4 linked regions of the Diceros bicornis minor genome follow. The protein of the gene in region 3 interacts with the protein of the main gene of each other region in a pairwise test. Links are inferred from orthologs where the notes say so. Each region holds a gene or a part of one and is shown on either strand. Other genes may lie near its edges.

Region 1 (7,258 bases), on a different chromosome or scaffold from region 3:
GGTCAGGGGCTTGCCCAATATCATACAGGAAGCCAGTGGCATAGTTAGGCTTTTCCTGGGGATGAGAAGTAGTTGGATCTGTCTTAATTTTGCCAGGAATAGAAGAGAACAGGACACTCTGGGTACCAAATATGCCAGGCTCTGCCCTTCTCTCAGTATCTCTACTCCTAGGAGACCTTGTCCCCATTCCCAGGGCAGATTTCTGCCTCCCAGTTTTGACTGACCCCCCAGGCTGCTGACTATGCTCCGCAAACCCCTCCAGGCACCACACATCCCTCATTGCGCCTCCAAGCACTGATGTACCATGTGCCTTGTGACTGTCACCCTGGTCGGACAGCACAGACCTCCACCCCTCCCCAGCAGGGGGCTCCCTACAAGGAAGGCTTTCTTGGTCCCCTCTTCTCATCTGCCTCATCCTTGTGTCTCCCTCAAGTCTGCCTTACCCCCAGCCAGCTCCCTGCTACACCTGTGTCCCACAGGTGGGATACGCCCAGAGGCGTATCACCCATGAGAGCTGGGGACAGCAGAGTGCAGGGAGGGTGAGGCCTGGGGAATGTCCAGGTCTCAGGGTGAGGGCCAAGGGGGCTGGGAGTATCCAGGGAAGGTCTTCCCTGGCAGCCGCAATGCCCTCCTAAGAGCTGAAGTCCCGCAGGTCCTTCCCTTGGAGCTCACCTCGGCTTGGAGTTCACAGAAACCTCAGGCAGTGGGGAGAAGATTTTCTGGGGCAGAGGTGCATGGGCTGCAAATTCAAATGCCTTCAGGTAACGAAAATGAGAGAAGTGGAGGTGCTAGACAATAGAGAGGGGTGGGGACTCTGGCAAACAGGAGAGTACATGCCCTGCCTATAAGCACTAAAATTCAAATTTTTGAAAAACCCTGTGCTGGCCAAACTAAACACTCATATTTGCCCCATGGGCGACCAGTTTGAAACCTGTGGTTCAAAATATTGAGAAGGTTCTAGGAAGCCCTGCAGAGTCTGGAAACCCCTCTGGGGAAGTCAGGAACGGAGGCCCCGGCTCCCTCTGAGACTTTTCTAGTCCAGTTCTAAACCCTCTCCACCTAGGCACCTGAGACCAGGCCCCACTGCTCTCTCAGCTAAAAAGGGGAGGGAGGTCTGGGTGTCCACAGGGTCCCTGGTTTGGGAACTATCATCTGATAAGGGCTACAGGCCCCCCCAGTGCCTGAGGGAGGCAGTTTAGGGGCTGGAGTCTTCTCCTGTTTGGGGGCCCCTGGTTAGGAGGAAACTGCATTGAGTGGGGGGACAGTCCAGGAACAGGATGAGGACTGAAAGCCAAGACCCAACTGCCCCCATCCTGTGCTGGCCCTGACTACACTTTGGCACTTGTCTCCCTCCCAGATAAAGCTGGGGCTTAGGGTAGGGGCTGCTCGGGGGTGCTATCAATTTCTGTACTAATGTGCTTTGTGATGTCTCAATGAAACGGACTGAGTGCAAAGCTACGTGGGCAGCAGTGGGGGTGGGGCCTGTGTTCCCCATTCCCAGCCAGAGACTTCTGAGACCCCGGGGCTGGAGGTACAAGGGACTGTAATGTGCCATTCTGGTTGGGGAAGGGCTAGGACGTTCCTGGGTTCTTCGTTGCTGCAGGTGAGGGGAGGAAGAGCAGGAAATTGTGGAAGTGAGAGAGAAGGCCCGGTCCAGGGCTGACCTTGTTCCTGGAGACAGAAAACTCCCACAGGGTAGAGGTGTGGTCCTCTTGTGCCTGGCTTCATCCACCCTTCCCTTCTCATGGCACGCAGGGGGCTGCCCCTCTCCCCAGCAACCCTGGCCATTATTCTATGCACAATCATAAGGGCACCCCCAGGCCAGGCTGAAGAGGGGGCAAGGGGGGGGGCGGGGTGGCCCTGGGGCGCCTGCAATAATCCGAGTGGAGAGTAGCCTGAGACAAAAGGAGGTGAGAAAGGCACCAGGTGGGAAAAGGATATTCCTCCATCTTCCTCTCACCCAAATCCCAAAATCCAAACCAGGCCTGTCTCCATTGGGCTAACCCACCAAACTTGGGAAGGCCTCACACACAGCCCCCAACCCCCTTGGTTTTCCAAACCAGTCATAAAATAGCTGGAAGGGACCAGAACAATTTCCAGAGCCCCCTCTTATTGTTTTCACTCCTGAGGATCCTATAGTTTGGGAGATTTTTCTCCCAAACAAGCCTGACTTCTTGAAGAATGATTAATTTTCCCACATTGAATTAACTCAAGCTGAGCTTCTGATTGCGGATAAATGTTGCCAAGGCCTCACGTTAGCTTCTAAGGCTTGAGGGTGGGGGAGTATCTGTATTCTATTGGAGTGTTTAATACACAGTTCTCGAGAGCATTCATGGGACCCCACTCCTGCCCCCATGGATCCTCAGGGCCTGGGACCCCAAGGTGGGAATCAGTGGTTTAATCATCCAACATCTGTTTTACTGAAGGGGAAGGCCCAGCAAGGTGGCCAGCCCAAGGTGACATGGCAAGTTGGTGGGAGAGTGGGACCAGAGTCCCACCAGAACACCCCAGCCCTGATGCCCCCTTCCACTTTTTCTCTGACTCCGGGAACCACTAGCCATGCCTGAGGGGCTGATTTCCCTCCCTCAGCACAAATCCGGGTGATTCTTCCCTCCCTAATCGGCCCCCACCCCTGCCCACTTCTGTTTCTTGTTCCCTGTCCCACCTCCTGGTATTGACTACATCTGTGCCATCCTCAGTCCCACCCCCACTCACCCCTCTGCGCTTCCCCCAGGAGGGGGAGGGGGCCCCAAGCTGGGGCTTCTGTACTGAGACTTTTGTACACCACAAACTTTTTGTATATTTTTAATTTTGCTGAGACATGAGATATTAAAAGTCATTTCAGTACGTGCTGTTTGTGTCCTATTGTTTTGGCTGTTCTGGGCCAGAGGAAGACGATGAGGAAGGAGGGACGGGGAGGACAGATACCTTCTACCACAATCCCTGTGGCTCCTTTAAGAGACAAAGATATTTGGTTGGGAAAGGCCAAGACGGTACACAAAGCTCCCTGTTGATTGGACAGAGCTCAATCAATGAACCAAAATCTCAGGGCCAAAGGTTTTAGGGATTATCTCCAAACTCTTCATTTTACAGATAAGGAAAAAAAAGAGATAGTGGTAGGGGTGGACCTGCCAGAGGTCACAGAATGAGTCCATGACAAAATCAGGAACCGGACTGAAGTTCCTAACTCCATTAAAAAATATATATATATATATATATATATATAATTTGTGTGTGTGTGTGTGAGGAAGATCAGTCCTGAGCTAACATCCGTACTAATCCTCCTCTTTTTGCTGAGGAAGACCGGTTCTGAGCTAACATCTATTGTCAATCCTCCTCCTTTTTTTTTCCCGCCCAAAGCCCCAGTAGATTATTGTATGTCATAGTTGCACATCCTTCTAGCTGCTGTATGTGGGACGCGGCCTCAGCATGGCCGGAGAAGCGGTGAGTCGGTGCGCGCCCGGGATCTGAACCCGGGCCACCAGCAGCGGAGCGTGCTCACTTAACTGCTAAGCCACGGGGCCGGCCCCAAAACATATACTTATTGAGTACATACTTGTGCCAGACACTGTTCTAGGCACATTGAACAAGAAAGATATAAAACAGGCATGCTCCCTGCCCTCATGGAACTTACTTTCCAGAGGGTAGTGCCTCTAAAATGTGTCCCTGCCTCCAGGGTTTCCACCCTCTAATCCAGGGGTTCTCAAACTTCAAAGTGCATCTGAATCACTTGGGGGACAAGGGGCTTGTTTTAAACGCAGATTTCCATCTCCATAACCAGAAGGCAGACAGAGCATGCCTGGGAATCTGCATTTTGAAGGTTCTCCAGGGGATTCTAGTGCAAAGGCTCTGAAGATCTCACTTTGAGGACCACTGCTTTAATGCAGCCTCCCACAAATCTGATCATGAGCTTTCGTTGCTTTAGAACCTCCCATGGCTCCCAAGGACCCTCAGGATAAAGACTAAACCCTTTGCCTGATGCTGATTTTTCACAACCCGGGCCCAAAATACCCCTTGAGCCTCATCTCCTACATAACCCTGCTCGGTCCTCATAGCCTCTCCAAACTACCCATCTTCCTGTGTGTGTGAGCCTCCCCTGATTGCCACCCACCAGCCTTTCTCACCATTCTTTCATGCAGGTAGAGCCCTATTTCCTTAGGGGCCCCCAGCCCAAATGCTCAGGGAATATAGCCCCCCACCTGACCCCAGGAAGCTGGTCAAAATTGGCCTAAGACAATGGCTCTGAAAGTGGGGTCCCCAGACCAGCAGCACCGGGGAACTTAGAAATGCTGCTTCTCAGGCCCCATCCCAGACCTACTGAATCAGCCACTGTGAGGGTGGGGAGCAGCATGTTTTTATAAACCTTCCACGTGATTCTGATGCACACCAAAGCTTGGAAACCATTGGTCCAAGATCATTCCCCTGACCGAGGATTGGTGGAGGCAGGGGCATGTGACCCAAATTTGTAAGGCAGAGACTGCTATGTGTCCTCAGTATCTATGATCCCTTTTTTCTGCAAAGAGATTTTTAGCTGGGCACATGGCCACCTAGAATAGAAGACTACATTTCCCAGCCTCCTTTGTAATTAGGTGTTGCCATGGAAACAAGTTCTGGTCAATGAGATATGAACAGTAGAACTTTGTGCTACTTCCAGATCATCCCTTTAAAGGGAGGAGTTGTGCTCACCCCTGGGTCAGTTTACCCTTCCTACTGACTGCACTGCGGCTGTGTGGAGAGCCATCTTGAAGTTGAGAGCAGAACCTTAGTATGGTGGAGTGACAAGACAGGAAGCCCCTGGGTCCGGGACATACGGAAATGTCATACCTGCCCTCGACTGCTTATGTAATGGAAGAGAGAAACTTCTATCATGTGTAAGCCACTGTTATTTGGGTCTTTGTTACAGCCGAAATATATCCTGGCTAATACATCTGGTTCCTAGATTCCTAAGGGAAGTCTTTTGAAGACTCTCTGGGAAAGATTTTCCTTCACAATGAAAAGACACACAAGAAGGGGAAACCCTTGGCCTCTTCAAGGGTTGATGGCATCAAAAGCAGGATGGTGATGGATGGCATCATGTCTGTATTGCTCCTAAAGCCACTGCAGCCTTCTCACTAGCTGTGTTCGTTTGCTAGGGCTGCCATAACAAAACACCATGGACTGGCTGACTTAGAAATTTATTTTCTAACATTTCTGGAGGCTGGAAATCCAAGATCAAGGTGTCAGCAGGATAGGTTTCTTCTGAGGCCTCTCTCCTTGGCATGCAGATGGCCGTCTTCTCGCTGTGTCCTCACATGGTCTTTCCTCTGTGCGTGCGCACCCCTGGTGTCCCTCTGTGTGTTCAAATTCCTGCTTCTTATAAGGACACCAGTCAGAGGAGATGACAGCCCACTCTACAGCCTCATTTTAACTTAATCATCTCTTTGAAAGTCTTATCTCCAAAAACAGTCTCATTCTGAGGTACTGGGAGTTAGGACCTCAACATATAAATTTTGGGAGACACAATTCAGCCTATTGCAGCAGCAAAGTAGAAAATGTAAGTAACTTGATTCCATTTTTGAGCTGCTCAATTAGCCAGCCCTGAAATCACTTACCATTGGACTTCTTGTCTTGAGAGAGAGTAAATTTTCCTTATTGTCTAAGACACCTTTGATCAGATAGTCTATTGTTTGCAGCCAAAAGCGTCACAATTCTGGCACTGTGTGTTTGCTCAAGCTGTTCCCTCTGACTAGGGTGACCTTCCTTTCACATGCCCTTCAAGGCTTCGCGTGACTGCCACAGGCTTGGTAAATGGCTCCTGATTCTGCCTTCTCCAACAAGTCGCTTGTCTTATATCCGAGTTCTCTGCTTCTGTGTCTCTCTCTCCAAGCAGACCATAGTCAGCATATGCGCTGTACACCTGCTACCTCATTCCCCCCTCCTGTCCCATGGCAGGCATTGATAATCAATCCGTTTTTCATGCTGGGGGTAGATCTGGTTTTTATAATCCTCTACACAGCACTCAGGCAGCCCCTGCCAGTCCACTGGAGGTGGTTCAAAAGAGACGAATGTTATTTGCCACACTGTTAAGTCTTTGAGAGGGACTTTATTTTACTCATCTCTTTTTTAATTCACGAGCTAATTTTAATAATAGGTGTTACCATTGTATGCTTCTATTCCCATTAATCCCTGCAGCAGCCTTCTGAGGCAAGCACCGTCATCATCCCGCTTTTGACATGAGACTCGGGGGTTTCGAGAGATGAACTACCTTGTTCAAGGTCATACACAATTGAACCTAGGTCCACCTGTCTCCACCCACTTCCACTGACTTTTAATAAGCGCTTGATCTGTTCATGGCCCTGGGGTGGGCACTGCAGGGAATACAGAGGTAGTTTGCTATTTCTAGTGGCATTTGGAACACTTCTTGTCCTATTTGAGATTCTCAGCGGTTCAGTGAGGTTTGGAGTTAGTCCAGGAGTAACAGAAGTCCCCATTTTACAGATAGGGAGACTGAGGCTCAGAGAGAGGAAGAGGCTTGCAAGAGCAAGAGACCACCTTTCATTCCCTGCTGCCACTCTGAGGGTGGGAATTTGGGACTTGCTCAAGGGGTTAAGTGGGAGTTTTGATATCCAGAGCACAGCCAGGGACTGGGTTGCACATCCTGGCCTCTTCCTGTTGGCCCAGCAGGCTGATGGAGAACTCACTTCCTGCTGCTGGGGGGTGACTGGCAGGATGTAGGGAGCAGGGGGGAGTGGCTGTGTAAGCTAGCACTAAACAGCCTGGGCCATTCCCCTCCCCAAGGAGGGGAGGAGGGAGACATGGAAGAGAGAAGGCTGGTGACTGGGAGTCCCCTGCGGCCCTCACCCCTAGAGGCAGTGGGGGGCTCAGACCCTCCCTCCAACAGGCACTGACCTGGCACACCAGCTTTCAGAAAAAACTTTGAAAACAATCTTATACGCTGGCCCCTGCGCTTCACAGCTTCCAGCTGCTTTCTCATCCATGCCTGACGTCTTGCACGCCACACCTCTGACTGCAGGGCGGGGCTTTGGGATTCTTGTTCCCATTGGAAAGATGAGGAAGCTGAGGCCCAGAGAGGTTACAATGAGCAACCTGCCCTGGATCATACAGCAAGTCAGTTTCAGAGCTTGGGTCTCCAGAACCCAGGTATCATGGCAAGGGCAGGAGGGGTCAATCAGAACCTTTCCAACTGTCCTCGGTGGGTCCTGCAGAGCACATAGGCCCTAGAAGTAAGGAACGAGGCCTCAGATCCAGACCAGGCAGA
Region 2 (7,934 bases), on a different chromosome or scaffold from region 3:
GTCCAGCACTGTCAAAGGTTTTCATCCTCTCAGCAACCCTGAAACAGGCACTATTATTATCCCCAACTCACAGATCAGAGAACTGAGGCCCAGCGAGGTGAAGGACCATGCCGGAAGCCACACACCTGCAAGAGGCAGAGCTGGGATTTGAACCCAGGCCATCGGCCTCTTGAGCCTGTGTTCCACTTTTCAGACAAAAAGGGCTTCCTTTACTTACAGTGCCAGCCATTCTGCCAGGCACTAGATGTGCTTTCTTTTCTTTAACACTCAGAACAACCCATAAGAAAATGGGGGCACAGAAAGGTTACCCAGCTAACACGGGCAGCAGCCAAATTCACACCCAGGCCTTGGACTGCAGAGTCGGCTCTAACCACTGCCCTCCACAACCTTTAGAGCCCCTATCCCTTCAATATCTCCTTCCCAGCCAAGAGCACGTGACCACTCTTTATTGTCTAGGATGACGCGGGTTTGGGCACCCACTCCCTGCTGGACTGTGAACCCTCTAAAGCAGGGACCTAATTTTCCAGGTTGGTGTCCCTCCCTCATGGCGCTTTGGTCCTTGGAGTCGTCCAGTGAAATTTGTTAAATTCACGGGCTTGGCTGTCCTAGGCCAGGAAGCTCCTCTTTCAACACAGGGTGTGGGCTCAGATGTCCTTAAAGGGCTCCCCACCCTGGTGTGTCCACTCTCCAGTGTCCTGGGGTTTCTCTGGGCCAAGCCCTTGTGACCACGGCCCTCATCACCGCATCCCCCCCACCTTGGCAGTTGTGCTGGGCACCTGAGGCTAACCTCAGCTAGGTATCCTGCCCAAGCACCCCACGACCAAAGTGGCCACTCAGAGACATGGCGCAATTGTGAATATGCAAGAGGCAGCCTGGGAAGCAGGGTGAGTAACAAAATGCACACACACAGGCTTGTACACACATGGACATGTCTAAAGCTATCCAAAAATCTACTAAATGTTAGAGGCTGGTTTTATAAAAGATAATACGTATAAATTGGCTATTCATCATCCTTATGAAACAAATAAAAGCCCAGCCTGGGCCGACCCCGTGGCTTAGCAGTTGAGTGCGCGCCCTCCACTACTGGCGGCCCGGGTTTGGATCCTGGGCGCGCACCGACGCACCGCTTTTCCGGCCATGCTGAGGCCGCATCCCACATACAGCAACTGGAAGGATGTGCAACTGTGACGTGCAGCTATCTGCTGGGGCTTTGGGGAGGGAAAGGAGGAGGATTGGCAATAGATGTTAGCTCAGAGCCGGTCTTCCTCAGCAAAAAAAGAGGAGGATTAGCATGGATGTTAGCTCAGGGCTGATCTTCCTCACAAAAAAAAAAAAAAAAGAAAAAGCCCAGCCTTCCTCCAGTAGACTGAAATCAGTATGTTCTTTTTAGGAGAGAGTGCAGTGGAAAGAACACGGGCCTGGAGACAGAAGACCTGGCGGGGGATGCCCCCTGTGCTTTCAGCTGGATGACCTTACAGAGGCAATGGGTCTCCCAGAACCTCAATTTCCTCCTCCACCAGCACGAGTGGTGGAAATCCCTGTAGTCCTCCCTTCCAAGGAAGTTGGGCAAACCAAATGAGACGAGAGATGTACAAGCCCTTTGCAAATGATGAACCCCAAGGTCACCCAGCCAAGAGGAGGCAGAGCCTGAACCAAAGACCTGACTCAAGGCCCATGTGTCTCCAAATATCAATTCCTTCTATTATTTTTGCCCCAGGATCTTGAAGTGGGTGGGGCCCAGACAGCCACACAGCCAATAACAAAGCAAATGGAGTAAGGCTCCCCCAAAGATTTCTTCTCCCAAGAAAAGTCAAAACTGACCTTGAGGTCAGGAAAGGACTTTGACTAGGTCAGAAACGGGGGTGAGGTCAGGGAACCCCCTTGATCCAGCACTTCCTGAATGCCCAGCCTTTGTCCAGAAATGTCAACATCCACAGGAAACTAACCTGGCTTGGACCCAAGGTCAATGTGATGCCCGACCACCAAATTTGTGGAACTTGTCCCCAAACAAGAAGCAGCTCTCACTCTTCTTGGTGCATCACGCAGGACAGGCCCTGTTGCAGGCCCCAGCGCCTGTGCGGCCTTCCCAGACTTCTTTTCTTTACTTAGCTCATGTTCAAATACCAGCATGCCTGCTTCCGGTTCTGCCCAAGGTAATGGAGAGTAACCTTGAGGCTGCCCTTCCCTCTCCTGTGGGAAATGAGCCAGCTCACATCTCCCGCTTCCTCTGGGGGCCTCTATCTACCCCAGTGCCTGTGGAGGAAGGCAGGGGTTCTTCACTGTGAAGAACAACCCTTTGCCCCCATTGTTTAAGATGCTTCCAGGCTCAATGGACCAATCCCTCTTCTTAGCAGTAAACTGTTAGAGGGGAAAGGTATTTTCTGTTCCTCCTGTTAACACCCAGCTCCCCACAGAAACCGAAGCAGTGCAGCGAAGGGACTGGACATCTGCAGCCCCCGCCCACTCGGGCACCTATGAATGGGCTTGCCGGGCTCCGGCCGCCGCCCAGCGAGCTGGTTACCTGCGCCCCACATCTCGAGGGATCCGGTGGACTTTGCACCACCGCCGAATAACGACCTCTAATTAGGGGGCTCAGCGGAACCTGGGCTGGGATTCCGGCGTGCTCGGGCGCCGGGCAGGGCGGAGCTGAGCAGGGCAGGGGGCGGGGACGGCTGCGCTCCGACCCCCGCCCGAGGAAGGGCGCGGCGCCGATTCCTTGCGCAAACGGCCTGCGCGACCGCTGCGCCGCCCCCAGAATCCGCCGGAGGCCGGCGAGGAGGCGCGCGGAGAGGCCGCGGCTCTGCGACACCAGAGGAGCATCCGGCCGTGGCCAGGGCCGGGCGCGGGGAGGGGGAGGGGGAGGGCGCGGAGGGGCGTGGGGCAGGCCTGGGCGGTGACCCAGCATCCTTGGCCGTGCCGCGCGACCCTCTTACCGGCAGATCTGGATGGCGGACGGGGTCTCGGCAGCGGGGTCAGACATGCTGGCGGCGGCGGCGGGCGGCTGAAGGAGAGCGCAAGTGTCTGGCAGGCCGGGCGCGGAATGAATGAGCCTGGGCGGCGCCATGGAGGGGGAGGGCGGAGGCGGGGCCATGGCGCCGGCGGCGAATCGAACGCGGCCTCCTGCGCAGGCCCCGCCCTCGCGCCCGCCCCCGCCCCGCCCCCTGGGCCGCGGCCGGCTCTCCCCGCCGCTGCCTCTGGCGGCGCGGCGGGGCCGGGGCTGGGCACCGCTTCCAGAAGGTTCGGCGGCGGTTGGGCGGCGCCGGGCTGGGTGGCCGCGTGTGTCAGCTTCGCCCCAAGTGGCGAATGTTCGTGTGCGGTGTTCCTGCGCCCGCGCCCGGCAGTTGGCGGGTCTCACGGCGCGCCCACGAGGCGCTGCGGCCGGCGGGCAGTGGGAAAGGCCTGCAGGAGTCCGCGTCGGGGTCGCTTCTAATATCAGCCCTGAGGGGAAACTGCAGGCGGTTTCCCGTAAACGAGCATTCATTCATGGCGGAGCTGCCGTTTCGTGTTCGCTGGGAGGCACGTGGGTGCACAAAACGGGGAACCACGAGCGGTCAGGCCGCAGCAAGTGCCTCTGCGGCAGCAGCACACAGCTGCCGAGTTGAGCTGGAAAGAAGAGAGGAACGGAGGTCTGTCTACACTGCCCGCTGCAAACTGCGTCGGGGTTATTCCCAAGATCTCCTGGGATCGCTGAGCGTTTGCCTGGGGGTGCACGTGATGCAGTGAGGAGCCCTAAGGATGCTGATCTGTTCCATTGCATACGATATGCCCCGCACTGGAGTCCAGAGTCCAGGCCAGGTCGGGGTCACAAAATCTGCCCAAGAAACACCATAGATCACCTCTATGTGCCGGAATTATAGAGAGCTTTTTACTCCATATGAATTTTCCAGTCATAATGGAGATCTGACTTTTTCCAGATTTTTTATAATGAACATAAATTGCTTTTGTAATCAGATTTTTAAAAATCAAATGAAACCAACAGAACTCAAGCTCTCCAGTGAAATTTGAAAACCCATTTATACTAAACTGAATAGCTGTGAAGGAACTGTGCCTCATCCTGGTCACTCCTGCGTTCCTGGACCATGGAGGCAGCCCACCACATGTCTGTAAGTGCCAGGAACAGAGAGGGCAGCCCAGATCACTCTACGGTTTCAAGATTATTACACTAAAAATTTTTTTTTCTAGCGTGAATTAAATCAATGCAAACATCAAGGGTCACCAAGCTTATTTAACCACCACCTCTTCCGGATATGGGTCCTGAAATGGGTGGATTTGTTATGATGGGACCCAGGAGCAATAGCCAGCTTTGGAGCCTAAGGCAAGGCAGTTTCCTTGTCTGTTAAATGGGGGTAATACTAGGGGTAATAATACTCACCCTCCTGACTTTTGGGGGGATTAAATGAGGTAATGAACCTAAGGAGCCTAGCACAGTGATGTTAGGGCCTTTCTTCCTCTTTGTTCTTACCTTCCATACTTAAACATTCTGTCTCTCAGCAGCCCTTCCCAGACAGTCACTGCGATGGAATAAGGATTTCTGAGGCCCAGCCCTATTTGTATGGGTGAGCACATCACTGTACGAGTTGGAGACATTTCCTTCTTCAAAAAGCTCAAAATCTGATTGGGAGATAGATCCGGGACACAGAAAGCCTGGCTCCAACCACATGCTGGAGTAAATTCCTAGACTGAGGAATAGGCTGATTGGTTCAGGATTAAATAGCCTGGTCCCTCGCAGAAGGCAGCAAAAAAGTGATCTGGAGCAACACCTGTACCTTTGGAAAAGGGTTTGGCTACCCTTTGGCCCAAGACAGCATCTGTCAACACTCTCCATGTGGTAGCTCCTGAGGTGGCAGAGGGAGCCAGAGAAAATAACAGCTCAGCCCGGATATTACTGTGTTCAGGATTCTGCAGAGAGAAAATGGTGCTCCCGGATTTACCATTTGTATATGATTGCCAGTTGTTTATGACCGTGCCCTGTTCTCAAGGATAGCAATGGAGGGCCCCATCATGAGTTATTCTTGCTATAGTGCTGATGGATTTCCACTGAGCTCTCACCTTATGCAGTCTCTCACCTTCCCATTTTAGGTTTTTTTCTACTTTCTCAAGCTACTGGGCCATTTCTATCCCTTTTTCAGCAAAACTTCTCAAAAGAGCTGTTTATGCATACACCCTCTCTCCTCTTCCCCCCTCCCATTCTCTTTTGAACCCATTCCATTCTGGTTGTTGTCTCTACTGCTCAATTTATCAAGGTCACTAATTCCTTCTAAACTGCTAAATCCGATAATCCGTTGTCAGAAGTCATCTTACTTGACTTCTCAAGAGCACTGAGCAGATGTGATCCCTCTTTTCTTGAAACGCTTATTCCTTGCCTTCGAAGACCCTGCACATGCCTACTTTTCTGGCCACCCTGCTCAGCCTGCTCGGCTGGTTCCGCTTCACCTCCTTCCTCTCAGAACTTGGGAGAGCCCAGAGCAGTGCTTGGACTCTTGAGGTCTCATCCTGTCTTGTGACTTTAAATTGTCCTTTCAACGACCACCGCGTATCTCCGGCCCAGACCTCTCCCTAAATTCCAGACTCATCTGTCCTCTTGCCTAGGCGACATGTCACTCCCGTTGTGTGACGAGGCATCTCCACTCCCTCAGAACTTGCTCCTCTCTCAGTCTTCCCATCTGAGCACGTTCCAATCCCTTCCTTCCAATTGCTGAAGCTAACAACCTAGGTCATCCTTGATTCCTCTATGTCTCTCATACCCCTCATCCAACCCACTGGCAAATCCTACCAGCTCTATGTTCACAATAAGTCTAGAATGTGATCGCTTCTCCCTGTGGTGTTCAAGAACCTGCCCACACCTACCTCCATACCCCTAGCCTCATCCACTGCTCTCCTCTTGCTCACTTGGCTGCAGCCAATCTGACCTCTCTGATGGTCCTTGAATATTCCCAGACCACTCTTTCCTCAGCACCCCCAAAGCTCACCCGGTCACTTCCTCAGGTCTTTAGCTGAATATCTAAATAACCACCTTCTAAATAGGCCTTCCCTGGCCATCCTACCTAAAATCGCAATTCCTCAGCACTCCCTCTCATCCCCCCTGGTTTATTTTTCTCCTTAGCACTTAATACCGCTTAATACATATTTGACTGATCCCTTTATTGTGTCTCCCCCAACTAGAACATATGTTCCATGAGGGTGGAACTTTTTGCCGTTTTGTTCATTGCTGTATCCCAGGCTCCTAGAAGAGTCCTAGCACATAATAGGTGCTCAACAAATATTTTATGGATGATTGCATCGAGGTTTACAAACAGCAACATATTTAACAGCAGCAGATATTTAATTCATTAGATTTAATTTGCACACTCTTTCTTTGGACTAAAAATATTATCCACAAATTGTTATAAAAACTTAAATATATTGCTTAAATCATTTCTTCAAATTTTTATGGAAAGATACTTAAAAAACTCTTTCCCTTGGGGGAAAGGACTAGGGGGTAAGGCCTTTATTTTTCATTTCCATATTTTTGTACTATTACCATCTAACCACTCATCTATTTTATTATTTTTTCATGTCACTATGGAGGATAGGATAAAAAACAACAGGAACTCTCATACACTAATAGTGGGAATATGAATTGGTACAAGCTCTTTGGAAAATAACTGAAAATAATTACTAAAGTTGAAAATAGCCATACCCTTTGACCCAGCAATTCACTACTAGGTGTATACCCTATATGTTGAGCATGAGTGCACCCAGAGACGCTTCAAAGGGGATTCATAGCAACACTGTTTGTGATAACTCCAAACTGGAAATAACTCAGATGCTCATCAACAGTAGGCTGGCTTAGTAAACTGTAGTATACTCATCAATGGGATCCCAAATAGCCATGAAAACCGATGAACTTCAGTTACACACTCAAGGAAGAATCACAATGTTGAGGGGGAAAAGAAAAATCCCAAAGAAAATATACAGGATCAAGCCATGCTTACAAAGATCTAGCATTCTATTTGTGCTATTATCAAAAAGATAAGAGATAAGTGTTGGAGAGGATGTGGAGAAAAGGGAACACTTGTACATTGTTAGTAGGAATGTAAATGGGTACAGCCACTAAGGAAAACAATATGGAGGTTCCTCAAGAAATTATAAATAGAACTACCATATAATCCAGCAATCCCACTTCTGGGTATATAGCCAAAGAAAACGAAACCATTATCTCAAAGAGATACCTCCACTCCCATGTTCATTGCAGCATTATTCACAATAGCCAAGGTATGGAAATAACCTGTGTCCATCAATGGATGAATGGATTAAGAAAATGTGGTGTGCGTATATATATACAATGGAGTATTATCCAGCCTTAAAAAAGAAGGAAATCCTGCCATTTGCAACAACATGGATGAAACTGGAGGGCATTTTGCTAAGTGAAATAAGCCAGACAGACAAAGACAAGTACTATGATGATGGTATTGGTTATATGTAGAATCCTGAAAAAAAAAAGTGTTGAACTCATAAAAACAGAGAGTAGAAAAGTGGTTGCCAGGGCTGGAGGTTGGGGGAAACAGGGAGAGGTTGGTAAAAGGGTACAAACTTTCAGCTATAAGATGGATAAGATCTGAGGATCTAATGTATAACATGGTGACTATAGTTGATAACACTGTATTATATAATTGAAATTTGCTAAGAATAAATAAATAAATAACTCTATTTGTTAGGAAAACATAAACAGGTGTTAAAGCTATAAAGAAAAACAAGGAAATGATTGTCACAAAAGTCAGGATAGTGAGTGTCTCTCAAGGAGAGTGATAGGATTGTCATCAGGGACTGTCACATAGGGTGGGGAGAATGGGGAATATTAATGCCTCCTCTTTTGACCTGGGTGATGGTGTACAGGTTTATAATTATTTTTTACACTGTATATATTTGTATTATGCATTTTTGTATCTGTTATA
Region 3 (7,891 bases):
TGGATGCTTATATCTGTGTATAAATGAACCAGAAAGAGTCTGGAAAGATAAATTCCAAATGCATGACAGTAGTTGGAGGAGAATGGTTACTTAACATTTATTTGTAATGCTTTATTTCTTATAATTTTAAAAAACAACTTAAGGCCAAAATGACAAAAGAGAAACAGTTTTCAATTCTGGGCAGAAGAGAGACAAATGTTTATTACTCCTGGAAGTTTTCTCAATTTTTAAAATCTATCAAATATAAAAAATTAAAACCGCACTGCTGGCCAGCCTGTGCTGGGCCGGGTCTGCCCTGCGCCTGTCCAGGGCCCCTGGGCTCCAGGTGGCTCCTGACCCAGGACTGGGGCCTCCCGGTTGGAGCCCAACAGGCCCATCCAGCTGGGCGAGGGAGAGCACAGCCCCAGAAAACAGCCCCTTTTGGCCCTCAGACCCCGCTGCCCAGGCCCCCAGGGGACAATCCAGAACAGGGGCAGCTGTGGGACAGGCAGGGAGGCGAGCTGCCCACATCACGTGGGCAGCTGTGGGCCTGTGACCCGGCCCATCCCGGGCAGGGAGCTCAGCGTCGCCTGACTGGTGCCAGGGGCTGCTGCTTTAAATAAACTTGGACGCGCCCACCTGGGCCGGGAAGCAACACCAACTGTGCCTGGGGCAGGCACTGTCAACACCAGGGCCCCAGGACCAAGGCCGTGGCCTGAGTGTCCGACCCAGGCAGCTCACCCCTGAACTCACTCATCCTCTGCCCCACCCAGGACGCCCCAGCAGGGCTGTGACAGGCCCCTTCAAGGCCCTCACCAGGCCTGGCACCTGGGGGGCTCCTCAAGGGGTGCTGGGCCAAGTTGAAGGCTTCCTGGCCCCGGAGGGCCAGCCCAGCACACTGAGGTGCATTCCCCTCATCTCCCAGGCCCCTGGTGCCCCCTCGACGGCTAGGCTTCCTCACCCACTCACGCCTGAGGCCCTGGCACCACAGCATGGGGCGGCCCCCACGGCTCCCTTCTTGGGCTGCTCTTGTTCTTGCTGATGGAGGAGGAGCCTGGCCTCCACTGCGGGGTCGGCCATCCCCTCTCAGCCTCCCTGAGGGCAGCCCGGAAGACCTCCATTCCCCAGTGTGGGCATATGTGGCAGTAGCCGGGATAACCAGTTGTTGGTGGCAATGAAGGCCTGGGGTTGGGCCGGCCACCCTACACAGCCGCTGGACCCAGGAAGGTTCCCACAAGAGTGAAGGAGGAGTCAGCGGAGTGAGCCTCAGGTTGAAGGAACAGGGTGCAGGGAGGGGTGTTTCTTTGAGGGGCCGACAGCACCTTCGAAGGGTCTGAGGGCCTGTATGCTCCTGGGCACCAGCACAAGAACACCAAGAAGGTCTCCTAGAAACTGGTGACCTTCCCCCACTGCCGCCCTCTGCCTGGGAGAACCACCTGTCCCATCTGAGGACCTCTAGCCCATGGCCCATCCTCACAGGCCTGGTCCCAGCCAGCCCCAGGAAGCTTCTTCAAGGCCTGTGTCCTGGGGGCTGAGGTGCACACACAGGGGATGTGCTGGACCCCTCCTTCCCTCTGCTCTGCTTTCCAGATCCCCCCACCTTGGGGCTGGGGACCCAGCCGGCTCCCACCTGAAGGAAGGGAGTTTCTCGGTCCACAGGCCCTGGCCTTGCCCTTCAGCCTGCGCCACCAGCTTCCTCCACTCCACCACTCCACCGGCTGCTGAGTCCCCAAGCCTGACCGGCATCCTTGGGCATGTGCAGGGAGAACTGGGGAATCAGCACACCCTCGCACTCCTCCTAGCTCGGTGCCCACAGTCATCAATGATCAGCATCCCTCCCAACACAAGGTATCACCACTGACATTCTTTTAGAACTGGGAAAAAAAGGATCTGCAGTTGGATGTGTAAGAGGAAACCTCGCCAGCACCCCACCACACATGCTGGATGGAGGAGGATGGGGCTCTGGCTGTGCCAGGCTGGAGCCGGGGATTCAGGAGTGCTGGAGCTGGCCCAAGGGACGCCAGGTGCAGCCACTCTGACTCACAGAGCCGAGGACCCCGAGACCAGCCTCACAGTCTCGGAGCCCGGGACAAAGCCTGATCTAGAACCTCACACTGCTCATGTTGGTGAGCAGAGCCCAGGAGCCACCTGTTCCTCGGGTGAGGCCTCACCTGAAACAAGCCTTCAAAGCCCTTCCCAATAGCCCCCCCCCCAATAACTCTCCAAAATCCAGCCCCCATCTACCTCGATGGCCCTGAAATCAGAAGCCCATCAGGCTCCCCACCTCACCCCCTCATCTCCAGCCCAGTGACCTGATCCAAGCTCCCTGACCTGGGCCCCCAGCTCTCCAGACTCCTCTTTCCAGAAGGATCCGGGGGGGAAATCCTCCAGAACCCAGATTCCCCGGGAGACCCACGGCAGAGGCTGTTCCCACGCGGCTGGGAGCGCAGCCGGCACCCCCCTCGCGGATGGAGCCACGCGGAGGAGCAGGCGCCAAGCAGGTCCCGCCACCCCCGCGCCCGGCCGCTTGGTGGGGGTGGGGACAGCGCGGCCCGCACGCTGACGACCCTCGGGGGCACTGCCACCTCCGCGGCCTCACGGCCGCCCCCGCGCGCTCCTCCTCTCTGACCTCCCGCCGCCAAATGCGTCACGTCTGCCGGGCGCTCTGGGGACACCTGCTGCCGCCCCCGCCACGCCGAGCCCCGCGCCCAGAGTCCGGGCCTCCGGCCGGGCGGCCGCGCTGGGCAGAGCCGGGCAGGGCCGCGCGCGCCGGGGCCGGGGGTTGGGGCGGTGCGCTCCGGGCCCCAAGCCGAGAGGAGCCGGGGGCGCGCGGGGCTGCACTGGAGCCGGCGGCGCGGAGGGTCGTGGTCTCCAGGGTCCCGGCCCTCCGAGCGCGGCGCCCTCCGGGATCTCCGCCCGGCCCGCACGCGCCTCGGCTCTTACTTGCCAATATCCTCGTAGAGCTGGTACTCGTCGGTGAAGCGGGTGCAGGTCACCGTGGTGGCCATGGCGGCGACGGACGGGCTCGGCGTGCGCTCTACTGCGCTCGGGCGGCGGCGACTCCGGCTCCCGCTCGCGGGCACGGCGGCGACACGGGCGCGGGCGCGGGCGACACCTCGGCTCGCGGCGCCGGGCGGGGGCCGGGCTGGGCTGCGCCGGGCGGCGAGCGCACGCGAGATCTGCGCGCTCCGTCCCCGCCAGGAGCGCGCCACACACCTACGCGCGGGGAGCGCGGGCGCCGCTGCCACCGCCGCCGCGCCCGCCCCGCCTGCGGCCTTCTGCACGCGCCCTGCACCCGCATCCGCACCCGCTCCGTGCACACGCACCCGCACCAGCCCTTGCACTCGCACCCGCACCCTGCACCTGCACCCATACCCGCTCCACGGACTTGCACCCGCATCCTGCATCTGCGCCCGAACCCGCTCCCTGCACATGCGCCTGCACCTGTGCCGTGCTCCCGCACCTGAACCCTGCACACGCGCCTCCACATGCAACCCGCTTCCGCACCCGCATCCATACCCATGCGCCCTGGGCCACGTACACGGGCACCCCCGGCCTGCCTGAACTGACTTCTCCATTCTCTGCTGGCGCCCCCCCTGTACACACACGCAGGGGACTGCACACAATGAACCCAGCCCCCTCTCTCCCCTGAAGGCCCACCTCGCCCCAGACCTCAAGAGGGAACTCAGGCACACATGGGGGCGGGGGGGGGCAGCATGTGTGCCCCTGTCCACAGAACTCATTCCTCACACCCCCAGGAGGAGATGCTACCAGACACCTCCTGCCCTGTCTCCACCACTCCACATATCACACAGTCCAGACCCCCTGGCAGAGCTGCCCAGGAGCCTCCCAGACTAGGCGCGTACACCGCGGGTGGGAGATGAAAGGGTGGAGGCAGCCCCTTCCCCATGGTCCCAGCCCGTCCATCGCTTTTCCTAGCACTGGCCGCTGGGGTATCTGGAGTGGAGGTCCCAGGAATGAGCATTTGGAGTTGACAAGGACCAGGGTCCTTAAGTTAGGGGAACAGGAGCTGCTCCATCAGCAACTCAGGATCCTGACAGCTCACTGCCCCCCTGCCCAGGTAGGGGAACACATTCTCCCCTCTTCCAGGCCTGGTCCACCTGCCTGCCCTCTGCTCTGGCCTGAAAAAAAAAGAGGGTCCATCTTGAAAGTAGCCCTGGAGGGGAGGAGGAGAGAGCATGGAGGGAGGGGCAGGAGAGGCTAGGCTGACCCCATTTCCCACAGAAGAGCCTCCCGGAGGGCCATCTAGAACCAGGACTTCAGACCCAGCAAAGAGGACCCACTGGGCTCCAGCACCTCCATTTCTTCTGAGGGGACAGGGCCAGGGTCTGTGCTGGACAAGCCCTGAGGAAAGAAGTTTCCAGCAGCCAGCTCTGGATCTGGGTCGTGCAGCTGCTCTGACATGAGCCACTTCCTGCACCGCAGGCTCCCCAGGCGCAAGGTCTGGGCCTGTCCTGCTCATCTCTCTCACCCTGGCAGGCAGCCTAGGGCTGGCTTCAGAAGCCATAATAAATATTCCTGGATAAAACATCAAATTGAAGGGATTCTGGGGTTGGGGCAACCAGGGTCTCTCCCACCAGGATGCCTTTGGTGCACCGCTGTTGGGCAGATTAGCAGACCACATGGCGACAAGTCTCGGTCCTGGGTAGTTTTGCAGACCCGACTTGCACCCAGGAGATGGCTAGAGGTCGAGGACACAAGGGTACAGGCAGGTCCCCAGCTGGGGGCAGAGAGGGCCCTGTGGGGGACATGGCCTTGATCTCAGACCACCTTCCTGCCTCAGTGCTGGGACCAGAGCACCCAGCACCTGCCAGGCAGACACCCACCTCTCCTGGGGCGGCCAGGGGAGGACTCGAGGTCCCTCACAGACGGGCAGAGGCTTGCTCTTGGGATTGTGTTCAGCCCCATAGGAGCCTCTCCCCGCACGTGCTGGGCCATCTGTATCATTCTGAGCTCCGGAAAGAGAAGGAGGCAGTCCTACACAACAGAATACAATTAGCAAAACAAACAAAACAAAATTGCACCCCTTGGTAAATCAGGCTCTCTCCAGGCTATGGGCTGCCAAGGTCACACACACTCTTACCAGCATGAGTCCACGCAATGGTAAAGTGGCATTAAAATTATGATGATGGTTGACACTGATTTGATTACATGCATTCTACATGTATTATTTCATTTAATTCTCAAACAATCCTGGGAGGCATATACTACTATTGTCCCCATTTTACGAGATGGGACAGCAGAGAAACAGAGAGGTGAAGTAACTTAACTTGTCCAATGTCACACAGCCAAGAAGCGGCTGGACTCAAACCCCACTGGCCCATAAATCCTCTCTTGTCTTTTCACACACACTGACACACTCACACAGACACACACTCACAATACACATTCACATACACACATACTTACACACAGACACACTCATATACATATACTCACACATACACACTCACACACACGCATGGCTTCCTGCAGCTCCTGGGCGAGGACACAGCAGCACTCTGGGTAGCCTCTTTTGAGGTTCCTTTCCCCGGGTGGGGAGGCTGCACAAGACCCAGGTTACACAAGAAGTCAGGGTCACTAAAGGGGTGCAATTTGAGGCCCCTGTTCTATTCCTGTTAGCACCTGGGGTCCCCCTGGGCAGCTCCTCCCCTGGGCTGAAACATTGAAGGTATGACGTGGAGTGACCCTGAGGAGGGCAGGGTGGGCGGGGTGATCAGGCCACCACAGTGGGGAATGGTTGAGCTACCAAAAGGCCCCAGACTGTCACTACCTACTCAGCCCAACCCCTCACCCCACTTACAGAACAACCGACACCCACCTCCAGACCAGAGGGTTCCTCCCCAGCACAGTGGAAAAGCTGGAAGGGAGACAGGCGGCCAGCCATGACTCTTTCTGGAGTCCTTGACCCCAGAAGCCCTCTCATCTGGGTTTGGCCTCCCACCTCTCCTTCAGGAAGGGCCCTCTTCCACCCACACCCCCACGTCATCTCCACCTCCCACCTTATCCTTTCTAGCTGGCTTTCGTCAGCAAAGAGGGCTCTCCCTCCCAGGTGGCAGCTGGGGCGGGTGTGGGGAATATCACTTCTGGGAGGTTATTGTTAGGACGGTCACCATGGCAACAAGCATCACATCTGCAGAGCCAAAAGTGCTGCACATGGGGCTCATTCTCCCAAGGAAAGCCATGGCCTCCTTTATCCTTGCCTCCAGGGGCTGCTGTCATGGAAGGGATGTCACTGCCACCACTTGTCCCAGGCCCAGCCATCTGCCTGGAAGAGCAGGCTGCAGTTCCCTGGAGCAGGAAGACTCTAAGCCATCAATCTCCAATCACCTGGCCCTTGACGAGGCATCCCATGAAGGATGCTGTGGCAGGCATGCAGGGGAAGGATGGTGGTAGTGATGATGATGAGGATGGTGATGATGGTGGTGATGGTGATGATAATGATGGTGTTGATGGTGGTGTTGGTGACAATGATGGTGATAGTGGTGGTGATGATGATGGTGGTGATAAAGATAATGGTGATGATGATGTGATGTTGATGATAATGTTGGTGACAATGATGGTAATGATGAAGATTGTGATGGTGATGGTGGTGGTGATGATGATGATGTCATGATGATGGTAATGGTGGTAGTGGCGATGATGGGGATGATGATGATGATGATGTGATGTTGATGATGGTGTTGGTGACAATGATGGTGATGGTAGTGGTGATGATGATGGTAGTGATGCTGATGATGGTGGTGATGATGATAATGGTGATGATGACATGATGTTGATGATAGTGTTGGTGACAATGATGGTGATGAAGATTGTGATGGTGATGGTGATGTCATGATAATGGTGATAGTGGTAGTGGCGATGATGGTGATAATGAAGATTGTGATGATGATGATGATGGTGGTGATGATGATGGTGGTGATGATAATAATGGTGATGATGACATGATGTTGATGATAGTGTTGGTGACAATGATGGTGATGAAGATTGTGATGGTGATGTCGTGATGATGGTGATGGTGGTAGTGGCGATGATGGTGATAATGAAGATTGTGATGATGATGGTGGTGATGATAATGGTGGTGATGACATGATGTTGATGATAGTGTTGGTGACAATGATGGTGATGAAGATTGTGATGGTGATGATGATGGTGATGTCATGATGATGGTGATGGTGGTTGTGGCGATGATGGTGGTGATGATGGTGGTGATGATGATAATGGTGATGATGACATGATGTTGATGATAGTGTTGGTGACAATGATGGGATGAAGATTGTGATGGTGATGATGATGGTGATGTCATGATGATGGTGATGGTGGTAGTGGCGATGATGGTGATCATGAAGATTGTGATCATGATGATGATGATGGTCGTGATGATGGTGGTGGTGGTGAGGATGATGGTGGTGATGGTGATGATGATGATGAAGGCCGTAGTTACGCTTTACAGTGCACTCACTACATGCTGGAAAGTCTCCTAAAGATCTAACATCTACCACTTCATATAAATCTTATAGCAACCTTGCAAGATAAGGGCTATCATTAGCCTCCTTTTACAAATGAGGAAACTGAAGCACAGAAAGACTCTGTAACTGAGCTCAGGTCACATAGCTGGTTTGTGGCAAAATCAATATTGGCATCCAGACCCACCTGACTTATGGCTGGTGGCTTTAACCCCTGCACTCTGCTCAAAAGTGACTATTGGCCTTGTTTACATGGTTACTATGTGCCAACTGTGTACCTGGTTCTGCCTAGGCACTGGGTCACACCAGGGAGTGTGGTGGACAAGGTTGCTGCCTTTGCAGGGCTTACGCCCAAGACCAACAAGAAAGAAACAAGAAAACATTGAGTAGTGATAATTGCTCTACATAGATTCAAAACAAAGTGA
Region 4 (5,864 bases), on a different chromosome or scaffold from region 3:
TTAACAGTCCCAGTTCAGATGTGCAATACTTCAGATTGGATACACTGTAACAAGAACCCAACTTTGCATAGACATCCTCGGAATCGCAATCAGTCACGGGGTTGCCCTTCCAAACTGGCAGAAAAGGAACCCGATCTTAATTTCCAGCTACTCCTGGAAAACAATGAAAAAACAAGTTTCCTCCTCTCCTCCTGCTCCTTCATTTGGTTCTCCCGGACTTCTTCCGTGTACTGAAAACTTGGAACTAGAAAACGGTTGTTGACACGCACACGCACACACACACAAGGTCCCCTCCACCTTCTCCCGTCCTCTTCCTTCCCCACCGCATTTTTTCCTGGCTGAAACTTTCGCTTGCCGGTGTCAAGCTGCCAATACAGCGCCCCAACGACTGCTTCAACGGGGAAATATGCGTCAACCAAAATCAATGAGAAACGTACATGCTGCACAGCGCCACGTTCCCACCGGGTCGCGGAGGGTCAGGGCGGGACAGCCCCTCGGACGCGGGGCGGAGGCCACCCCGGCCGCTGCCGAGTCGTCTCCAACCTCCGAGCGAGAAGGGCATCCCGCCGAGCGCGCCGTGCGCTCGGCTTTGTGCGCGGGGCGCGCGGCCTCAGAGGATCACGCAGGCCGAGCAGCAGCCCTCGTCGCCGTTGGGCTGCGCCGCGTAGTTCATCTGCCGCACGATCTCGGCGAACAGCTCATCCACCGAGGCTTTGTTTTTGGCCGACGTCTCCATGAAGGGGCAGCTCCACTCCTCGGCCAGGGCCTTGCCCTCGCCGAACGAGACCTCGCGCTCGCCCTCCAGGTCCACCTTGTTGCCCACCAGGATCATGGGCACGCGCTCGTACCGCTTCACGCGGATGATCTGGTCCCGCATGGGCTTGATGTCCTGGAAGCTCTGCTGGTTGACGAGGCTGTAGACGAGGATGAAGCCCTGGCCGTTCTTGATGTACAGGTCCCGCATGGACGCGAACTGCTCCGTGCCCGCCGTGTCCAGGATCTCCAGCACCGACGGCGACGAGTCCACCTCGATCTCCTTGCGGTAGAAGTCCTCGATGGTGGGGTCGTACTTCTCGATGAAGGAGCCCGTCACGAACTGCACGGTGAGCGCGGACTTGCCCACGCCGCCCGAGCCCAGCACCACCACTTTGTACTCTCTCATGGCTCCGTCGTGCCGCGGCCCCGTCGGGGCTGCGCGCCGGGAAGGGCCGGGCTAGGCGGCCGCACTTCTCCCCTGCCTCCGCTCCGCAGGAAGCAGCTCGGCGAGGGCGGCCGGGGCGCGCGGGGCGCCGAGATCGCCGCGCGGGGGCCGGGCCGGGCACGGCGGCGGCGCGTCCCTGGGGCGCGGGTCCGGGGCCCCGCAGCAGCCCGCGGCTGACCGGGAGGACAATGCCGGCAGCCCGCGCGAGGCGACGGCGGCAGCTCCCGGCCGCGGCAGCCCGGGAGGGCCGGCAGGCGGCGGCGGCTGGCTGCGGAGGCGGCTGCTAGCGGCGCGCCGGGCCGGGACGCGCGTGGCATGAGTCCCCGCGGAGCGTGCGCCCGCCGCCGCGGCCCATCGCGCTCTCTCCCGCAGCCTCCGCGGCCCAGGGCTTCCTGCCCGCCGCGCGCGGCCGGCCCTCCCCGCCCCGCCTCGCCCCGCCCGCCCGGCCCGCGAGCATGCCCAGTGCGCCGCCGCCCGCCGCCCGCCGCCCCTGGCTTTCCGGGGGCGGGACTGGGGGCCGGCCGGGGCGGGGCCGGGGCGGGGCGGCGGAGCGCGCGGGCGGGTGCCGGAGGGCGCGGGTCTAGAACCCGACCAGAGCAGCGCGGGGCTGGGAGGCGGCGGAGCGCTAGGCAGGCTCCGGTGGGAGCACGTGGGCGCCCTCTCCGCGCTCTGCGGGGCGTGCCTGAGGGTCCCGCCCGGGGCCGCGGGCTGTGCCTCCGCCTCCGGTATCAGGAGCCCGAGGACTCCACCCCGGGCCCCCGGCGGGGTGCGTCACGGCCCGGAGAGCCGGCGGGCGTTGGGGGCGCGGAGCGCGGGGGCGGCGAGCATCTCCCGGCGGACGGCGCCGCCCTTCACACCGACCGCCACGGGCACCTACGCGGCCTCGTCACCCCGCACAAAGACCCGAGAGCTGTCCCGACGGGGAAGGGGCCGCCCCTCGGCACTAGGGCCTCTGCGGGCGGCCACCTGGCGGGTCCCACCGCCTCCCCCGGTGGGGCTGCAGCCCGAGCCCGGCCACCCCCCCAACGCCGAGGGGCGGCGGCCAGGGCTGCTCGGGCGCCGGGCCGGGCTGGGGTGGAAGGAGGCGGCGGCGGCCGCGCACGCCCACCCGCGGGCTCGGCCCCCCGGCCCCCCGGTCCCCCGGCCCCCCGGCCCCGCGCACTCCCCGCCCCGGGGCTCGCCCATTGGCCGCCGCCGGCTCTCGTCCGTTTGGGCGGCGGCGCGCCTGAAAAGTCGCCTCCGCTGGGATTGGGTGATGGGCCGAGCGGAGGGCGGTGCAGCTGCTCTCCGTGCGCCCGCCCCTCCTCCACTGCCCCAACCCAGTCGTTTTGAAGCTAAGAGTGAAAAAATAGGAGGAATTTGGGCGGAGAGCTCGGAGCTAAATATAGTCCTTTGTTGAGGTTTGCCAGAGGGCCTGCCTTCTGGGTGCCCAGGCACCACCGGCCCTAAAGGGAGCAGAAGGGGCTGGCTGCAGGTCTAGTCTTCAAGAAACAGCAAAGTTGCCAAGTTTTTTTGCGGGGAGGGGAGAGGGCTAGGACGTGGAAATGGACCACGTAGGCATCATCCCAGCCGAGGGCCTCAGGAAACGCCTTCGCTCTCGGGCGGCACCCGCGGGGGTGCAGGGAGACGCCTCGACTTGCCCGAGTCTCCCTCCCTCCTGGCGGCGGGGAGATGTCGGGACCTGTCGCAGGCTCAGCGCTGCAGCCGGAGCCCCAGGGAAGGGGGTGGCGGGGCCGAGCCGCGTGCACTCTGGCTCTGGGTGCTGCCTGCCTCTTGCGCCGCCACCGCCCCTGGTGCGGCCGTCCGCAGCGGAGAGGTGGACCCGCGGGTGCCAACACTTGGTTTCAGTGTCTGAGGCCACGTTTGCGAGTTAACCTTCTCCGAACCCGGGCTGTAGCCCGCAGTGTGCGTGTCTGCAGCGTGGACGCCTCGGCCAGGGACCCGGCGGGACGCGGGCAGCAGCCGGCGCCTTGGGTGGGTGGGTCGTGCCCACTCCTGCGCCCGGCCGGCCTGCTTGGTGGAGAGAGGGTTGAACCTTGATTATCGGAGTGCCTGGATGTAATTATGCCTATATAATTCTCCAGCTGGAGAAAAGCTCACAGCGGTTACCCAGCGTTTATGTCTGCCAAGCGTCTTACACATGCTGTCTCATGCAATCCTCATAATAATGATAATTATTATACCTACTTTAAAGATGAGGAAACTGAGGCCCTAAGCCATTCAGTCACTTCTCTGAGATTTCACTGCTGGTGATGGCCGAGCAAGGATCCCAGCCCAGGTGTTGGGCAGCAGAACCTGGTCTTGTAACCAACTGGCCATTCTATCTTCTCATAAGAAAGAAAGTTCCCGGATTTTACTCTTTCTTAGGTTGGATCTTGAGGCAGTGTGATCGGACCGGCTCTTAAACCCAAGCAAGAGGGACCACCCTCTCTCAGTGCCCCTTCCCACAGGGTCGAGGAGCCTGAACCCTCTTCTAGACTGGCCAGGTGGTCACAATTCTGGAATCTCTGCCCAAATAGTACCAAACCCTCGTCCAGGCTCTGCTTGGGCCTCAGAACTCACCCCTGCATCCAGGAATGAGTTTTGGTTGGGTGTGGACAGTGCTTGGACCTGTGGGAGAAGGTGTGCCCCGCCCCTTGCCACAGTGGGCCCCTCCAAGTGAAGGAGGAGGGGTCAGTGGAGTCAGCATGCCTTCCCTGCCACCTTCCAGCCTGTGGTTGGAGGAGGCCAAGCTTCATAATTCACACCTGGCCATCCACCTCCTTGCAAAGAGGTGTTTGTCACGGTGGGAGGATAGATCATGTTCTAGGTTTGTCTTGATTTATAACGTAAATACTTAGGTTAATGCCACGTGAGCCTCTGTTTGTGCTCTTGCCCACAAATGGTAGGTGTGGCTCTTGAGTAAGGTGTGGTAGAAAGTGTTTGTCCTCATAGGCCTGGTGTCTAATCTCAAGTGTTGGATATCAGTTATTATCTGAGACCTTGGGCCAGTCCCCTCAGCTCTCCTGACCTTAGTTTCACTATCTATAAAATGGTGATAATAAAATTTGCCCTACTCACCCAGCTACACGAGGGACCTTGGAGAGAATCTGGTGACCAAACCCCTCATTTCACATCAGAGAGAGCTGAGCGGAATTAGAACCCTGGTGTCCTGGCTGCCCTTTTCATGGTGCCAGACGGCCCTCAGGGACAATAATTAACAGATAATGGATGGGGACATGCTTTTAAAGCTGCAGCGCCTCATAAATTTGTGACAACTACTAGCCAGACCCAGGCGGCCTGAGAGCCCCATCTAGACGAGACCAGCCTCAGGACTCCGGTAGCCACGTGGACGAGCATTATTGAATCTTGGTGGCCTCTCCAGTACCAGGAGGATGCCGCAGTTTGAATACAGCTGTCCCTCGGTGTCCGAGGTAGGGTTGGTTCCTAGACCTCCCTCGGATGGTCAAGTCCCTGAATCAGCCCTCCGTTACCGGGTTCCGCGTCTGCAGATTTCAACCAGCCGAGGACGGAGTGCTGTGTTTAAGACAGGGGCCGTGGAAGCCACAGATACGAAGGGCTGATTGTACTTTCTGCTGGGGATTCTTCCATTTTTGTCTCCCACAGAAAGATTTGCACTGAAGCTTTGGGATTCAAAATGGAGTAATGGAATTGCTCACGCACGAATTTTTAAGGTTGGTCACTTCCTTCTCTGAAATGTGGTTGGAGTCTTTACTGACCTCACTTATGGCGTGAATCATTATCCTGTAGTATAATTATTTACATGTCTGCGTCTTATCTCCCAGCACCGTGTGAATTCCTTGAGGGCAGGGTCCGTATCTGGCTTATCTTTGGAGCCACCTCTGTCCCTCAGAACACCTCGTGCAGTGCCTACGTAGGAGGCCCTCAATATTTATTGATGAATATATATGAATGGCATTTTACTCCTTTTCCAAACTCTGTGTGTGGTAAAAGATTATATTAATCCTTGGTGAGAGATAAACATTTCCTGGATCCTTAGAAAAATGTATACTAATATTTCAGTCTCTGTGAGTCATAAGATGCTGGAGTGATCAAAGTCAACCCTTATTTGGGTGGAAACATTATGTCAGTACTATCTTGGGGAAAGATACCAAAGCGTCCAATGGAGAGACCTTTTCTCTGAGGAAGACTTAACATTTGCAGAAAAGGCATTTCTAGAAAATAACCTAAAGGAAAAGCTGCCAGTAAGGATTGCTTAACCTCTGGTACCGAATGTCCCACAGTGGAGGGTCCTGGCCCTGGCCTTTGCTTGCATGGTGGGATGGCTCAGCTTTTTCGACCCTCGGATGGGGCCTTCAGAGAATTAGCAGGTTTGTTAGAACATGAATCTTTTAAAGTCCTCAAGAAAATAAGTGCCCACCTGTCCTCTTCATTTATCCAAAGTAAGCTGAGGTTTATTTCGTCATGGTCATAGTTTTAGCTGCTGCCGCCTATAGGTGAAGAAATGCTTCTAGTTTTGAAAACACCAAGGATAAGTCAATAGTGACCACGTATCATCATTTTAAAGGGAAGTATAAATATAACACTGTGCCTTGCAGAGTTCTCAACAGTATCTAAGTACTGAACATGTTATAAGGTAACTATGTATCCACCAGCAGGCTGAGGATATTTTTTTTGCCAGTGGTCTTTTTAACATAATCTC

What was found. The genes of interacting proteins can lie anywhere in the genome.
Region 1: the proteins of CAMK2B (region 3) and CCM2L interact in binary tests that used the Homo sapiens proteins (3 or more experiments, as listed by UniProt). The two-hybrid records come from large-scale screens. The link is inferred for Diceros bicornis minor from reciprocal best matches to the Homo sapiens genes CAMK2B and CCM2L.
Region 2: the proteins of CAMK2B (region 3) and ACOT7 interact in binary tests that used the Homo sapiens proteins (3 or more experiments, as listed by UniProt). The two-hybrid records come from large-scale screens. The link is inferred for Diceros bicornis minor from reciprocal best matches to the Homo sapiens genes CAMK2B and ACOT7.
Region 4: the proteins of CAMK2B (region 3) and RAP2B interact in binary tests that used the Homo sapiens proteins (3 or more experiments, as listed by UniProt). The two-hybrid records come from large-scale screens. The link is inferred for Diceros bicornis minor from reciprocal best matches to the Homo sapiens genes CAMK2B and RAP2B.

The regions. Positions count from the first base shown.
Region 1 is NC_080758.1:27,534,664-27,541,921, reverse strand, and holds the start of CCM2L (cerebral cavernous malformations 2 protein-like), read left to right. Parts: upstream 1-4,236; coding exon 4,237-4,248; intron 4,249-4,787; coding exon 4,788-4,871; intron 4,872-7,258.
Region 2 is NC_080752.1:26,450,972-26,458,905, forward strand, and holds the start of ACOT7 (cytosolic acyl coenzyme A thioester hydrolase), read right to left. Parts: upstream 2,981-7,934; coding exon 2,934-2,980; intron 1-2,933. UniProt on the Homo sapiens protein: Catalyzes the hydrolysis of acyl-CoAs into free fatty acids and coenzyme A (CoASH), regulating their respective intracellular levels.
Region 3 is NC_080780.1:1,436,808-1,444,698, forward strand, and holds the start of CAMK2B (calcium/calmodulin-dependent protein kinase type II subunit beta), read right to left. Parts: upstream 3,017-7,891; 5' UTR 2,988-3,016; coding exon 2,923-2,987; intron 1-2,922. UniProt on the Homo sapiens protein: Calcium/calmodulin-dependent protein kinase that functions autonomously after Ca(2+)/calmodulin-binding and autophosphorylation, and is involved in dendritic spine and synapse formation, neuronal plasticity and regulation of sarcoplasmic reticulum Ca(2+) transport in skeletal muscle.
Region 4 is NC_080741.1:2,231,213-2,237,076, forward strand, and holds RAP2B (ras-related protein Rap-2b), read right to left. Parts: upstream 1,238-5,864; 5' UTR 1,163-1,237; coding exon 611-1,162; 3' UTR 523-610; downstream 1-522. UniProt on the Homo sapiens protein: Small GTP-binding protein which cycles between a GDP-bound inactive and a GTP-bound active form. Involved in EGFR and CHRM3 signaling pathways through stimulation of PLCE1.